2 linked regions of the Rhinolophus ferrumequinum genome follow. The main gene of each other region encodes a partner of the protein of the gene in region 2 in a complex. Links are inferred from orthologs where the notes say so. Each region holds a gene or a part of one and is shown on either strand. Other genes may lie near its edges.

What was found.
Region 1: PRPF38A (region 2) and IK share a complex: the UniProt entries of both Homo sapiens proteins name them as parts of the spliceosome B complex. The link is inferred for Rhinolophus ferrumequinum from reciprocal best matches to the Homo sapiens genes PRPF38A and IK.

The regions. Positions count from the first base shown.
Region 1 is NC_046307.1:15,183,128-15,190,629, reverse strand, and holds the start of IK (protein Red), read right to left. Parts: upstream 3,015-7,502; 5' UTR 2,893-3,014; coding exon 2,877-2,892; intron 2,437-2,876; coding exon 2,370-2,436; intron 1,305-2,369; coding exon 1,212-1,304; intron 711-1,211; coding exon 651-710; intron 1-650. Other genes in the region: NDUFA2 (NADH dehydrogenase [ubiquinone] 1 alpha subcomplex subunit 2), read left to right, coding at 3,205-3,305, 3,432-3,538, 4,837-4,928; TMCO6 (transmembrane and coiled-coil domain-containing protein 6), read right to left, coding at 5,417-5,530, 5,778-5,945, 6,319-6,413, 6,553-6,739, 6,854-6,965, 7,177-7,311. UniProt on the Homo sapiens protein: Involved in pre-mRNA splicing as a component of the spliceosome. Auxiliary spliceosomal protein that regulates selection of alternative splice sites in a small set of target pre-mRNA species. Required for normal mitotic cell cycle progression.
Region 2 is NC_046292.1:37,401,382-37,409,123, reverse strand, and holds the start of PRPF38A (pre-mRNA-splicing factor 38A), read right to left. Parts: upstream 3,021-7,742; 5' UTR 2,835-3,020; coding exon 2,705-2,834; exon of another isoform or gene 2,620-2,704; intron 368-2,619; coding exon 208-367; intron 1-207. UniProt on the Homo sapiens protein: Involved in pre-mRNA splicing as a component of the spliceosome.

The sequences.
Region 1 (7,502 bases), on a different chromosome or scaffold from region 2:
TCTTCCGGCTCACAGATACATTGTTCCAATGCTACCTCAGGGCACTCCATCTGTCACTTTAGAATTCGTTAATGCCACCCAACTCTATATCATTGAGTGTTTACAGGTATGAGACTTTTCCCTACAGCAACCATGAAGCCATCTGATTTTTTTATCACCTTCCAAGTTTCAACAAAAAATAAATTGTTCCTTGCCGGTCCTCCCCAAGAAGAGAGGAAAAAGCAAAGTAAAGGTCCAGAAAGTTTGGTATCATGTAAATGATGATGATGGCAGCCAAGACTTATTCGGTGGTTACTATCTGCCAGGCACTATCACATTACATGCATTATCACAGTTGACCCTCATGACAATCTGCTAAGAATTATCATCACTATCTCCTTTTTACCAGGGAGAATACTGAGGATTAGAGAGGTTAAGCAAAATGCCCAAAGTTATCCAGCTAGAAACTGGTCAAGATGAGATTAAAACACCACAGACTGACTTCAAACCCTTAAACGGCCACTCCATATATCACTCCTGTCCACTATGAAAGCGGAAAACCTTTAGAGAATAAAGGAAAACCTCAGTCTCTAGCCTCATAACTAGCCCCTATTCCTTTCCCACAAACACTATCCACATTAAAACCCAACAGTCCTCCATCCTTCCTTCACCTTTTCTTTTTCCTCCTTCGTGCAGCTGGGTCTTCATCCTCATTGTACTCCCTTGGCATCCTAGAAGAGAAATATTAGCAAATATTAGTAAAATATTGCCACAGCCCCAGAAATCCCAAGAAGTGGCCTTAAGAACTGAAGAAAGGTCTAGAACACTGACCAAAGCAACAGTTTCAATAGGTCAGAGATCCATGTCAATATTTGTATTGAGTGGTTCTCAAACTTTAGAGAGAAAGCATCACAACTACCTGAAAGACTGTTAATATTATGTATTCCCAAATATCTGTCCCAGAATCTGAGTCTGTGGGGACTGGAATGGGCCCTGAAATCTGCCCACTTAAGTACCAGTAGCAATTCTAGTACAAGTGGTCCACGGAACATACTCTGAGAAAAAGTGAGACCCTAGAACATGCCAGTCTCCACTGGAGCTTCAATCTCCAGAGGAAGAGAATCAGAACCACAGACTTCAAAAAAGAACTAGCCTTCCAGTTCCTAAGACATCTAGATTAGTAGATTTTCTGTAATGAGATGGGAGACAGCTTGAATCACCCCAAAGCTTACTCATGATGACGTGATTTAGAGGGCGGTGCAGAGGTAGGTGCAGCCCTTGGGGTCATGAGAAGTTTCCTGAAGTCTTCATTGGTGAGTTTTGATCTAGAAGGCACAAAGATTTTAAAAATTAGTACCCAGTAAGAACTAGAAAAGGAATATGTAAAAAACATGGTTAACTGTACTGGAAATCAGGGAACTACAAATTAAAACAAAGACATGCCACTTTTAATGCATCAGTGTTATTAAAAAGTTTGATAAATTAAGTATGCATAAGAATTTGGGAAGGTTTTATACCGCTGATGGGAATGTAAGTCAGCATAGCCTACTGGAGGGCAAGTTAGCAATATCTATTAAAATTTCAGTGTGCATTTCCTATAACCCAGCAACTCCATTCATCTACACATTACCAATTACTGGCATGTGTATAAAAAGGAGGTTCAATTATAGCTTTGAAAACAAAACTTGCTAACAACCTAAATGTCCATTAACTGGAGACTAAATAATCTGTGACAGTGTTTTCTAAATGTGGGGCAGATAGCATTGATAGTACAAGAGATAATTTTAATTAGTACAAGAGTGACAAGGACTCACTCCTTGACCAAACTTTAGTCAGATTCCGTTTAGCCCCCTTCCAACTGGGCCTCTTCATTGGCCTGCTGAGCCTGGTCTTAGCAAAAGAAAAAAGCAAGCAGCCAAATAACATACGTACAATATAACACCATTTAATTTAATTTAATTATTTTAACTCACGAAGCAATGAGATATTTTCCTCAGATATACATGTATGTATATAAATGCATTAAAAAAATAGGGAGAGAAAAGTTACACATGAAAAAGGTTACAATGGTTACCTCTAAGAACAGGACCGGAATTGGGGATGTTGATCAAAGCGAATTTTACCCTTATTTCTGATGTTTTCATTTTCTACAAGAATTAATTCCTATGTAATGTGTAATTAAACATCAACTTTAAATACTAGCACTCTCCATGCCAGAATTTCCCCTCTAATACTGTTATGCAATTGACTTGATCCAGTTAAAGGGGGAAGTAGTACAAAGTTTTTTTGATCATCCTTGCTGAGGAGACATTCAGAATTCTTTTACCATCACCTCCACCACTCTACTCATTGCCCAACTCATTGCCATGGTTCTAGATCAAAACACTCACTGGTGGAAGGAGTGAGGATCGTCCACATCGTGGCCATCTGGGGCCAAAGGGTTGGAGAACGGCTCGCCTAAGAAAATGAATTGACATTAATCAATCTCTTTTGTGTGAGGTCCCATGCAAAAGTTGGGGATATAGCAGTGAATAGTAGGGAGTCCACAGGAGGGGGCCCCTAAACCAGCGCTGGAGGGTCAGCAAAGACTTCCTGAAGATGACATCTAAGATACTACGTGAAAGATAAATTGACGCAACCCAAGACTAAGTGATATGGGGCAGGGGGATGAGGGGTCAAGTTCACAGATAAACCCCACCTGTCGTCACTCGGGGAAAAGACGAGGATTAGGGACAGAGTCTGGAGCTGCCCGCCCTGCCTCGGGGCCCAAAGGCTTCTCCAGGCTCCAAGCGTCACTCCGGGCCCTTCTCCACCCTGGCCTAAGTTCTGAGGCCAAAATAACCCGCCAAGTGTCCCGAGTCCCGCAGGGTAGAAAGGGCAGATAACCTGAGACTTACTATCTCGTTCCGGCATTTCGTCCGCGGTGTTTCAACGCCAGCTAGGACGGAGACTCCAACAACAACACGGTAGCGACAGCCTTTTCCCCACAATGCACCTCCGAAAGCGACCCACAGTGCCTTGCGTTCCGCAGCCTTTCGGAACCCGCCCATCCGACGCGAAATTGGAGGAAACGCGACTGGTGCCTTACAATGCTTTTATGGCATTGGCTAAACTTGACCCGCCCCCTACCTCAACCAACCTATCGCGGGGCCTGGAGGATCCGCGATTGGTCCTTCTGGAGAATTTGGCTGGAAGACCTGACCAGGGGATTAGATAGCAGCAGAGATGGCGGTCGCTGCGGCGAGTCGAGGGGTGAGTGCCAAGCTGGCCCTACGAGAGATTCGCATCCACTTGTGCCAGCGCTCGCCGGGCAGCCAGGGCGTCAGGTGAGGAGCAGCGCGTGGTGAGGCGGGCGGGCTTCGGGGCGCCGGGGTCACGACCTCGACCTCCCAGATATTTGGGGAGGCCCGCGCCCACACAGCACGCGCGGGGCGCTTTCTCCGGCCCCGCAGGGACTTCATCGAGAAACGCTATGTGGAGCTGAAGAAGGCGAACCCCGACCTACCCATCCTAATCCGCGAGTGCTCCGATGTACAGCCGAAGCTCTGGGCCCGCTACGGTGAGTGCCGGACTCGGGGGATACGGGACCCCCGTGGGGAAACAAGGACTTGAGAAGAAAAAGGGCCGCGCAAGGTCAAGCATAAACGTGTGGAGACTGGAACTCAGACTTCGGCCTTGCTTTTGACCTTGCTGACAATAAGGAAATTTACATTCTTAGAGCTATAGAATGCTTTGTGTCCTGGGTTAACAGTGTGGGGAGGCGGGCCCGGTCCTGCGTAGGGACAGGAGCTGTCACTTTGTAATTCAGAACAGGTTTCCGATATGGGAGAAGAGATGCTGGTCAATTCTCTTCAATGTAAGTCCTTCCACGTCTGGAAGGACCGGCACTACCTGGGCAGTGCTGATCCAGGTAGTGTTACAATCTCAATAAGGAAAACCTAAAATAATGATTGTGTTGAGCACTTACTGCTAGACTGTGGTGCTTTGCTGCCTAAATCTCATTTAATCTTCATTCACTATATGAGGGGGTGTTATTGTAGAAATTAGAAACCTGAATCAAAAATTTTACAGAACATACCTAAGGTTATGTAATTGGATAGAACAGGTTTGAGCCTTTATTTTTGTTCCCCCTTTCTACAATGCACTTCTGCCAGATATCCATGGCTGACTTTTTATTATTCAGCTCTGAGCTTATATATCATCTCCTCAGAAAGGTATTCCCTGACCAGTTATGTAACATCACCCCCAGACCCTTTTTTATCATATTACCTTTCATTTTACCGCAATCTGAAAATTATCTTGTTGCCTGACACATAGTAGGCAGGCAAAAAATGTTTATCGTATTAGTGGTATTTTCACCACTTTTAACTACATCTTGCCCAAAGAATGTCTGGAGGAAGAGGGGAGTCACACCTAAGGCAGATTGGTTCTAACAGTGGAGGTCTATAGAAATACCAGGCACTAAAAACAGGAGGAGGAAAAAGGTTCTCTTAACAAAAGCCAGTAGACTAGAGGAGATGGACTCAAATAACTAATGTATTGTCCTAGATGGACTATGGGAGCCACAGAATGAGCACCAGCCAAGGCTTCCATGCACTGCTCCAATCAATGGTTAATAATAAATGCCTACCGAGCCCCTAGAAACTTCCCTGAAACACCTTCCTTACCATGTGGCCACCCACAATCAGCCAAAGTTCTAGTTGGACCTGGCCTTCCTAGATGTGTTTGAGACCCACTGGATAAATTCTAGGCATACCTTTACTACCTTTCCAATCTATAAGTTGATGACAAAGACTTGTTATACTTTGGTAGCCCCACGTGCAGAGTGGATACTTAGTGACCTCCCTCTCTCCCCAGCATTTGGCCAAGAAAAGAATGTCTCTCTGAATAACTTCAGTGCTGATCAGGTAACCAGAGCCCTGGAGAATGTGCTAAGTGGCAAAGCCTGAAGCTTCCACTGAGGACTGAGCAGCAACCCCACAGCCTGGGTGGGCTCTGCTGCACTGACTACAATGGAAAAATGTATTCTTCTGTTCTCTATAAAGCTTGTGCTGTAAGATGCTCTCAGGATGTGCTTTTCCTCATTCCACTCTCTACCCTTTATCATACAACCACTGAGGCAAAGCAGTTTATTATAAAAATAAAACTTTATTCTGTCCCATCAAAAGCCGCCAGCTGCTGGAGCAAACCAAAACGGAGAAAGAGATTCCAGGGCCCCAGAATAAGTGGGCCATACTGATTTCCTTCTGGTCCTTCTGCCTAGACAGTGCCAGGTGAAGAGGAGCTGGGGTCCAAAGGCCTTGGCTTAGGTTTAGGTGTGGGAGCAGAGAACATGATGCCTCATTATGGTCCTAACCCCCAAAAGGGGCTCCCTAGGCAAGGAAGCTGGTGGGGGGTGGACAGGAAGGAGTGGAGTAAGTGACATGGAGGAGCCACGTCACCCATGAAGAGCTGTCTGCCGGAGAGCATGCACTCGATCCTGGAGCTGGGCCTCCTCCTCATGCCTTTCCAGAGCATGCAGCCCTGATTGCTGCAGGAAGTCCTGGGCAGCCTGAGGATAGGGAAGAAAAGGATTCAACACCTGGGTCCCTATGCCCTAACACTCAATTCCCACAGCCTAATGGGTTACCCTAATGGCTTATCTAGGGAGAGGTGCATTCCCAACAAGAAGGTGGAGGTTCAGACCCGGAGCCCACATAGGCTAGCCAGACCCAGAAAAGTGACTATAGTTAGGACTGATGAGATGGTGAGACCAGAGGCTTCAGAATGGGGGTTAGCGCCCAGGGCCAGAAACGCACCTCTGGTCGATAGAGGAATAGCAGTTGTAGCAGCTCCAAACTCTGGCCTACTACTTCAGTGTCAGAGAAGGCCAGCGTTTCCAGCAAGGAGGGGAGCAAGGGTCCTGGCCACAGATGCTGGCAATAAGCAGGACCCTTCTCTGCAACGTTGCACAGAACTGTGAGCACCTGCAGACAGTATGTCCCCACAGAGGATGAAAGCCAAGTACAGCAAAAAATATATGGAGTGCTGACCACATGCCCCAGGCACTGTGCTAAGTAATTTTATATGCATATGCATGTTCTGTAATCTACACAGCTACCCTCAGGTAGGATTACTATTCCCAATTATAAATGAGGAAACTAAAGATAAGGTGGTTAACTGATTTGCCCGAGGTTAGTAACTTGTAAACCACAGTTTAGGGACTCACGCCCAGAATGGTCAGACTCTGAAGCCATCCACAACGTACCAGCTGCCAGCTCTCAGCTAAGGGCACTTCTGAACTCCCACTCTTTATACTTGGGCCACTAGACCTTAGACTCGGATGGCTCCAATACCTACCAATACGCTCACCACATTAGATACTGGCAACAACTGCAAGAGGGGCTCAATCAGATCCAGGGAAAGCAAGGAGGTACAGAAGCTAGGGCTGTTTGCTGGAAGGGAAAATGTCAGGGTGAAGTCTAATTGAGGCCTGAAACCACCCCTTCCTAATTCCACCCACCTCAGCCCAAGCCACAAGGAAGTCTTCCCAGGATCTCAAGATCTAGGCCTAGCAGACTTTACGGTGCATACCGGTGAGGTTGTTAAGGAGCCAGAGGCCCTCAGGAAGCAGGCTGGGCTGTTTCTGGAGAAAGAACTGCAGAAGGATAAATAAGGCAGCCACAACACGCTCATCTCTGAGCTGCACTTGCCCTCCCACAGCCTCCACTACAGCCTCTGTTAGCAAGTTGCTTAGACACCGGAGCACAGGACACACCAGCTGTAACAACAAGTTGGGGATCAGGTTTAAGTTAGAAGGGGTTACCTGCACCCTGGAGGAGGAGCAGAGTAGGAAGAAAGGTAGCAGAGATTTGGACCTGTCCTCTTCACCTACCAGCTCCAGTCCTGCATTCTCGGATCTCTGGACAGCCCCCGCCAAGTCCAAGAGCAGCAGCCCCAGAGTGGACAGAGCCCCATGGGTGATGAGCAGGGCATTGTTCACCTGGCTGGGCAATAGGAAGCAAGTAGTCACTACTCAGCCAATCCCACCTTTAAGTTGGCAAACAGCCTAGGTGTGTGGGTTTCCTGGGTTCCAAGAAGAGAAGACCATGGAAGGAAGAAAACACAATTCCAGAAACCCAAGTTCAAAAACCCGAGTGTCATGAAAGGAGCCCTGGGGGAGGTCTGTGGCACTTTCCCAACTGGCCTCTGCGTTACCTGCAGATGATATAGTGAAGGCACCAGGCAAACTCGACAGCGACCTCAGGGTTCAGCTTTGGGCCAGGTTGCAACAGTTGCAGCATGTGCTGGGGGAGAGTGGAGCCCAGGACAGAGCTGCCAGCAGAAGTAGAGCTGTGAGTAGGAACCATGGAAGGCAAGATGCCAGTCGCTCTTTCCAAACCCTAATAGGTGGGAAAGTGTCTAAACCCAAAGCCCTTCCCAGCCAGACACACGGAGTTAAATGTGCAACAGCTTTGGAAACAGAATCACGCATCTAGGGGCTACTGCCAAGTGGGTCAACCCTGCCTGCACATCTGGAGATA
Region 2 (7,742 bases):
GGGGGAAAAGTTACCAAGACTGAGAAAGTAAAGATGATCAATACAATCAAAATAGACAAAATACAAATTCAAGAGTTCAACAGCAAAATCCTAGAGTGGAACTCTCTATGCAAATGAGATTCAATGTTATCACTCCTCTTAACCAAAGCCAAATTCAGGACTAGTGAAATTGAAGCTTTTGTATTAGCCAGTCAACATTTCACTCACTTGAAGTCTTCATTTTTTATAAACTCAACAATAATATCCTTCTCCGGTTGAATCTGAAGCATCTTCAAGGTCAAACACAGAAAGGGAGTTGGTTTTATGTTGCCACCATAGACGCCTCCCACAAACCTTAACTCCATGGCTTTATCGACTACAAGTTCAGCTAAAAAAGACAAACAAACAAAAAAAACAAATAGAGTGGCATCTCAGATATACTAGGGCTAAGATTTCCCCAGTTTGAAGTGGAGAGAAGTTAGTTCAAGGTTTGGTGCTGTGAATACTCATCAACAGTTTACTATTAGGAGAACAAGTGTGTATTAATAGTAATAATAATAAATGCAGATGATCATGCATTGTGGAGTACTCTGAGTACCTGCCATGTACTCTGCTAAACATTTCATGTTATCTCATTTAATCTTCACAATAAGCCATGAAGTAAATTACAGCACTGTCCCTGTTTTCAGCTAAGGATAATGAGGGCTAAGAAAGGTTAAGTGACTTGCTCAAGGTCCACAGCCAAAAAGCAGCAAGTCCTGGATTTAAATCTAAGCAGTCTAACTTCAGAGTCCACACTTGTCACCATCATGTAGGGGAAAAACTGCCAAATTAGGAATTAGAAGTGTCAACATAAGAACGTCCAAAGCTGCAGAGAATTTTTGTTTAAGAGTTTATTTGAGCCAAACTGATATGCTGGGAAGCAAAAAAAATCTCAACTGCTCTGGAGAATGAGTTTCACATTTCTTTTTATACATTTAGAACTAAGGAAGTGTGGGAGAAAGCAAGGTGGGGGAATCTCTATGATTGGATTACAGAATAGTTAACAAGATTATGTGCTCCCAAAAAGAGGATTACTCTGACATTTCAAAGCTGTGTTAACCTAGATGCCAACCATAGACAGGGCTTGCTTCAGGCAAAGATAAACCTTTTACTAAAGAAGTTACAATCCTGGGGCATGACTACACACAATGAACTGCCCAGTTAAGAATTTATGATCAGAGCATCCTGTGGAGTTACTAACATGTCAAATCGACTGCAAAGCTACTTTTTCAGTTCAAAAAAAGAAACAATAACAACTCAATAGCTACATAACCTTAAGCAAACCTCATCTACAGAATGGGAATAATAACCTTTCAATGTTGTTGTCAAAATCAACACTAGCTATGTGAAATGAACTAGGGCAAGTCATTTCACCTCTCTTTGGGCCTGTCAGTTCAAATTTAAATAATAAAGGTACAAAGTTTAAGAGCTATAGTGAGAATCAAAGAAGACAATTCAAATAAATGCTAATGCTTACATGACAAACAGCAAATAATAAATGTTAGCTACCATTAATGGGAAATCTTTTTATATACTAGACGTCAAATTAGGATAAATTCTGTATTAATTCATTCAACATTACAGTTGACAGCTTATAGCTGGGTGTTAAGTACTAGAGATACAGATAGAGGGATAAAAAAGAGGGACACAATTATTACTCTTAAAGAGTTTACAGTCTGGCAAGGCAGAAAGCATCGAAAAAGTAACTGAAAGTGTGATGAGTTGAAAGAAGACACAGAATGCAATGAAAATATACCACAAGAGAATACAATCTAGTGTTGGAGGCAAAAGTCCTGAGTTCAGTTTTGGACATATTGAGTTGGCACGTCTTGGAATTAGATTTAGATCTCAGGGAAAGATCTGTGTTGGAGAGATGAATTTGAAGGCATCTACATGTACAGGATGTAACTATGTTATGGAGATCATCCAAGGAAAGAACTATGGAACGAGAAACTGTGCTTCATCCATGGAATCCTAGCTCGTGGTGGTGGCAGCAACAGTAACAGTACATACCGTATTTAACACTGGTAAAAAAAAAAAACTAGCACCACCATTACCATTGATCACTGACTACTTTTTATCAATATATACCTGTAATCATACCAAACACTTTTTATACATTATTGCATTTAATTATTAGAACCACCATTTAATTATTGAGGGAGCGGGAGGCGGGGGTAGGTATTATTATACTCGTTTCACAGTCAAGGAAGCCACGGCTCACTGGAGTAACAGAGCTACTAAAAAGAGGAGCCAGAATTCCAACAAAGATGAAAAGACTACCTGGCAGGCTTCTCTGAAGAACTGGTATTATATTAGGACCCGAACATGGAAATACTGCAGATGGTCCAAGTTTAGGGATAGTAAGATCATGGATTTGGTTCTGGTCACGTTGACTTTCGTTTAATGCCTTCCCGGGTTTCCGAACTTAACACTGGAACCCACCAAGTTATCATTAAACATGAAATGATTCAAAGAACACAACCGAGACACCTTTCGGAATAAGGCCCTATTATCTGTGTACCCAAAGCCCAACACAAGTCTAGGCACATAGTAGGCGCTCAGGAATCTGAATGACAAATTCCCCCCCAGTCTCACCCTCAGGGGGTCAGTCCCGTCGGCGCCCAAACAGGAGAACTGTGCCACAAAGCGGCCGATGGGGAGTCAGTGCGCTTCCACTCACCGGTAAGCCCAAAGCACTCCTCTTTCCAGTACTTGGACTCATAGATTCGCGTCCGAATGATCTTCTCCACCAGATATTGAGGGTTGGTGCCGTGGATGCTGTGCGCATCCTTTACTGTGCGGTTCGCCATTTTAGAACGCCTCCAGTTCTATTTCCGTCGGGTCCTTTAGTACGTCACATCTACGTTAAAAAAAAATCAGAACTGGAGAAAGGCGGAAGAACTCTCATTTTAAAAGCTTAGGCGACCATCTTGAGACCGGAAATGCTGCAGCGTAAGGAACTTTCTTCCGCAAACGGCGTCGCTGATGGTATCAATGATGGACGCTGCACGTTGACGTACGTACGTCATGCATACTCTATTAGGTGGGCGGGACGGGAGGGCTGGCTGGTGACGGAACGTGGAGACAGCCTGAGGGCGGGGCCACGACGTTTGGCGCGAAATTTTATTCTCTCCACCTTCTTTCCATTCCTAGCAAGGAGCCGGCTTCTGCTCCGGCGTGCGGCTCGGTGGCTGCAAGAGGAGTCCATCTGGAGCAGGTGAGAATTGCTGCAGCTCCACGAGCTCCTGAAGCGGAGACTGTGGGAAGTGGAGGGCTTGCGCCTAGCTTCAGGAAGTTTCGGCGCCCGGTGAGTGTGGCGTCCGGCCGGCTGGAGGGGAACCTGAGCCGCGGGAACTGAGGAAGTTGTCCTTTGTAGACTCAGTCATTGATTCATCCAGCAGATATTTACTAAGCCACCGTTAAGTGCCAGGCACTGTTCTAAGCCCATTAGGAGCGTTCCTTTCCCACATCCCGAATGTTGAAAGTCTTCTCGCTACACCAGGGACTGCAAGTTTTTCAGTGGGGTAGCCGGAAGCCAACAGCATGGAAGCATGAGCATTGCCACCTTCAGCGTCCTGAGACTCTCAGTAATGATCTTAATCATCCCTTCTATCTGCATTGCCCTTGTGAAGCATCGCATCTGTTCCTCCTTTGAGTCGTAGTGTAGCAAGCACCACCGAGAAGTCGGAGCTGTAGAAGTTATTACCCCATTTTACGGATGTAGCAATTGCTCCTGGAGACAGATCAGGTCTAGGTCGCTTTTTGTGGCTGAGCGGTTTGGGCTCCTACCCAGGTCTTTTTCCAGTTGAGCTGCTCTTAACTGCTGGTCACTCATCCACTCCACCTTTCCAGGAGAGAACTCTAATGACGCCTTTTCTACTTTCTAACCCTAGAATGCCAAGGCTTTCTGTTTTGACAGTTGGAAAAAGCACTGGGTTTAGGCATAAGATGCAAGATTCTTATCCTGGTGCGCCATCTGTAAACCTGCAATAATTAAATATGTTAGTTTTTTATTTTAATAGTCTGTAAAAATGGGTACTGGGTGCTTGTGGACTTTAGAAGGTTTATGAATCCCCTGAAATGAATGCAAAATTTTTGTGTGAATTATATGTGAGTTTAATAACATTCATCAAATTAGTAAAATAAAAAGAACCTACTGCCTCTTCCAAATAGAGCAAGGGATTAAGGAAGTGGGAGTGAATTTACCATTTTGCATTTTTTTACTTAATCCCCAGTAATCCTAGAGCAGAGTTTGGCACACAGCGGGAGGTTAATAAATATTGGTTGAATAAAAGGAAGTTTCTGTTATTATCTCACTTTATGGGTAAGGAAATGGAGACCCATTTGTTCCCTCAGTCAGTGTCTGGAAAGCCTGAATTATTATAATAAGCACACCAGAAGCAAGTTCTCTCAGGCATATATTTAACATTATATACTGTAACATAAGATGAAGTGGTTAAGAGCAGTCATTGGAATCTGGTTGCTCAGGGGTTGAATTAAGACTGTGCCATCCTGTATAACATTGGGACAAGTTATCATCTTGAAGTTGATAATGGCATCTACCTTTCATTCAGCAAATATTTATTATTGAGTGCCAATGTGCACTTAGTACTAAGTACTAGCATTGTTCTAGGATTATTGTGAGGATTAAATGAGATAAATTTAGCAAGAGTTTTGGCTCAATAAACATCTGCTATCATTATTTTTACTGCAACTCCCTTACCTGTTTTTCTTGGGTGTGACCCCTGGGCTGGGTAGTATGTGTGTTCCAGATATCTGGTATCTGCAATCCTGAGAGCCTGTAGTGGGTATCTCCTGGAAGCCAAAGCCTTTGCTAGGCCAAATCAGGTCTGTCTTCCCACCCCACTCATCACGCCTCTTGGGGACTATTTCTGCTGATGGTGGATGGGATGAAATGCTGGGTGGAGGGTAAGAAAGTGAAAAACAATACAAAGAGGCCTGACATCTACTATGATTTCCATATGCTGCCGCTTCAGAAGGACTCCTGATTAATTTTTTGAACTTTAACATACATACAGAAAAGTACACAAATCAGAAATGTGTAGCTCAATGCATTTTTTAATTGTTTAAATTTTTTACTTTATAATCTCTGAGCTAATCTGCCAGTTTTAGAAATAGCATGTCAGTGAGTTTTCTTAAAAAGAACATACCTATGTAACTACCATCTAGTTCAAGAAATAACATGACCAGCATCTCAAATGCACCCCGCGTCCCCAACTGTGCACCTTTTCAGTTACCTTGGTTACCTTCTATTCTCACTGCTAACACCAGAGTTTACTTCTACCTCTTTTTGAACTTTATATAAATGGAGTCAATATAGTGTGTATTCTTTTGCTGATTTTTTAGCTCATTGTTATTTTGTGAGATTTTCCCCATTTTGTGTGCAGTTGTAGCTGGTTTAATTTCATTGCTTTATAATGCTGCTATGACCATTCTGGCTCATGTTTTTTGATGATGTGTTTTTTTGTGGGTGTATTCTGTTGGAATTGCTGGATCATAGGGTATGCTTGAATAGATACCTCCAATTTTCCAGAGTAGTGTTACCAATTGACACGCCCGCCAGCAGCAGTGTATGACACTTCTGGCTGCTCTACATCCTTACCACATTTGGTATTGTCCTAATTATTTACATTCATTTCATTCACTTTTTCATTCACCTATTACGAGCCAAGTCCTAACCTAGGCCCTAGGGACACAGTTATGAACAAGACAGACAAGGTTCCAAGATCCCTGCTCTTTTGGAGGTTAACATTCTCATGTGGGAAATACAATAAATAAAGTAACATAGTGGTTATTGCTTTGATAATAACGTGGTATAATGGAACACGATCCCGAGGGGCAGTATAAAGTGTGGGGGGGTAACTTTCCATTGGGTATCAGTGAAGGCCTCTCTGAGGATTTTCCTCGCAGTTGAGCCCTGAGCCATCCCTGCAAATCTTTGCAGGAAGAGGAGAGGACGGCAATTGCCTAAGTCTGAGGGCACTAACAGCCTTGGTCTGTTTGAGATTTGGAAAAGCAGGCCTGAAGCAGGTTGTGCAGTCCAGACCCAGATAGTCTTCTTTCTATACCCCCTGCCTGCTCAGCCTAGGGTGAATCACCCACCTTTGCATATATGCATACACAGTAGTCCCCCCATATCCACAGTTTCGCTTTTCGAGGTTTGTTAACCTGCATCAGCTGCAGTCTGAAAATATTAAATGGGAAATTCCAGAAATAAAAATTCATAAGTTTTACATTGCACATGATACTGAGTAATGTGATGAAATCTTGAGCCGTCCTCCTGTTCTATCCCGCTCAGGACTTGAATCGTTCCTGTGTCCAATGTTGTCTATGCTATATGTGCTAACTGGTTAGCCAGATCCGTTTATCAGATTGGTCACCAGCTATTTTGAAAGAAAGACCACAGTCACATACCTTTTATTACAATATATTGTTATAATTGTTCCGTTTGATGATTAGTTGTTAATCTCTTACTGTGCCTAAGTTATAAATTAAACTTTATCGTAGGTATGTATGTATAGGAGAAAACAGTATACATAGGGTTCAGTATCCACGATTTCAGGCATCTACTGGGGTATTTAAATGTATCCCCTGAGGATGAGTGGGAACTGTACTGGTTTCATTGAACACAGCTCATGATCTAGAAAAGGAATGTTAAATTTTATCTTGACTTGGTTTTGAAGGAGGATGCCTGCTTTGTTAAGCTAAAATATGATCTGGATTTAGAAGAATTGAGAGTATGTATTTGATGTATTTGATGCGTGAGTACCTTATTGATATGGAGGTAGTCCTTCTGTATGCCAATTTTTGGTTTGAAAAAATGAGATCATTGTGCCAGTGTAACAAAATGTCATAGTCAAAGTGACAAATCAGGCCATTTATCTTACAGTTAGATTATTTAAAAGTTGTAGAAAGTTTGCTGAGAGATACCAACTTGCCATAAAACACTCTCCCTGATATTTCGATTTTTTTTTTTAAATGACAGAGCTTAGTGAGTACTTTGAATTACTTGCATCTTTTATCTGTATCCATCTATTTTGCCTGATTCATCGAGGAAAGGTGAAAAGTTTTAAGTTTACTTCTGAACAGTTCTGTGTTACATGAACCATTAAAAGGAACATATATTGAAGGTAAGTTAGTGTTATATATTTCCTTGAACATTTATTGAATCTAACACTTTTACTAACTTTTACCAAAAGATTATATGAATCCAAATTCATTTTTTACGTAAGCACAAGTCTTCTACTTGTTTTTACTCATCAATCTTCTTTGCTGTTTGTTCATTTCTACAATGTACTTAATTGAAAATAGATTGATTTTAAAAGTACTCTATTTTGAATTATACTCTTGATGTTCTTAATAGCAATCATTCAGACATCATTTGTAATCTGTGTATTTACTCGTGACTCAGTATCTTCCCTTCTTTTTGCTAACTAGTTTCCACAAAGTAAACTAAAAATTACCTTTTTTAAAGGCAGAAAATCTTATGGGTTATAATGTTACCAAGTAGAATGTAGGACATAATGCTACTGAACTTTAGGAAACCAGCTTGTTTAATCAGGATGTTAACATGCTATTCTAATTCTGTTGTTTTCAACATAGACGGAAATTATTGGTCCCCTTATCAGTAATTCAGAGTAATTGAGTCAGACTGTATTTAAAAAAAATTTTTTCACCCCAGTTTTGTCCAATTTTAG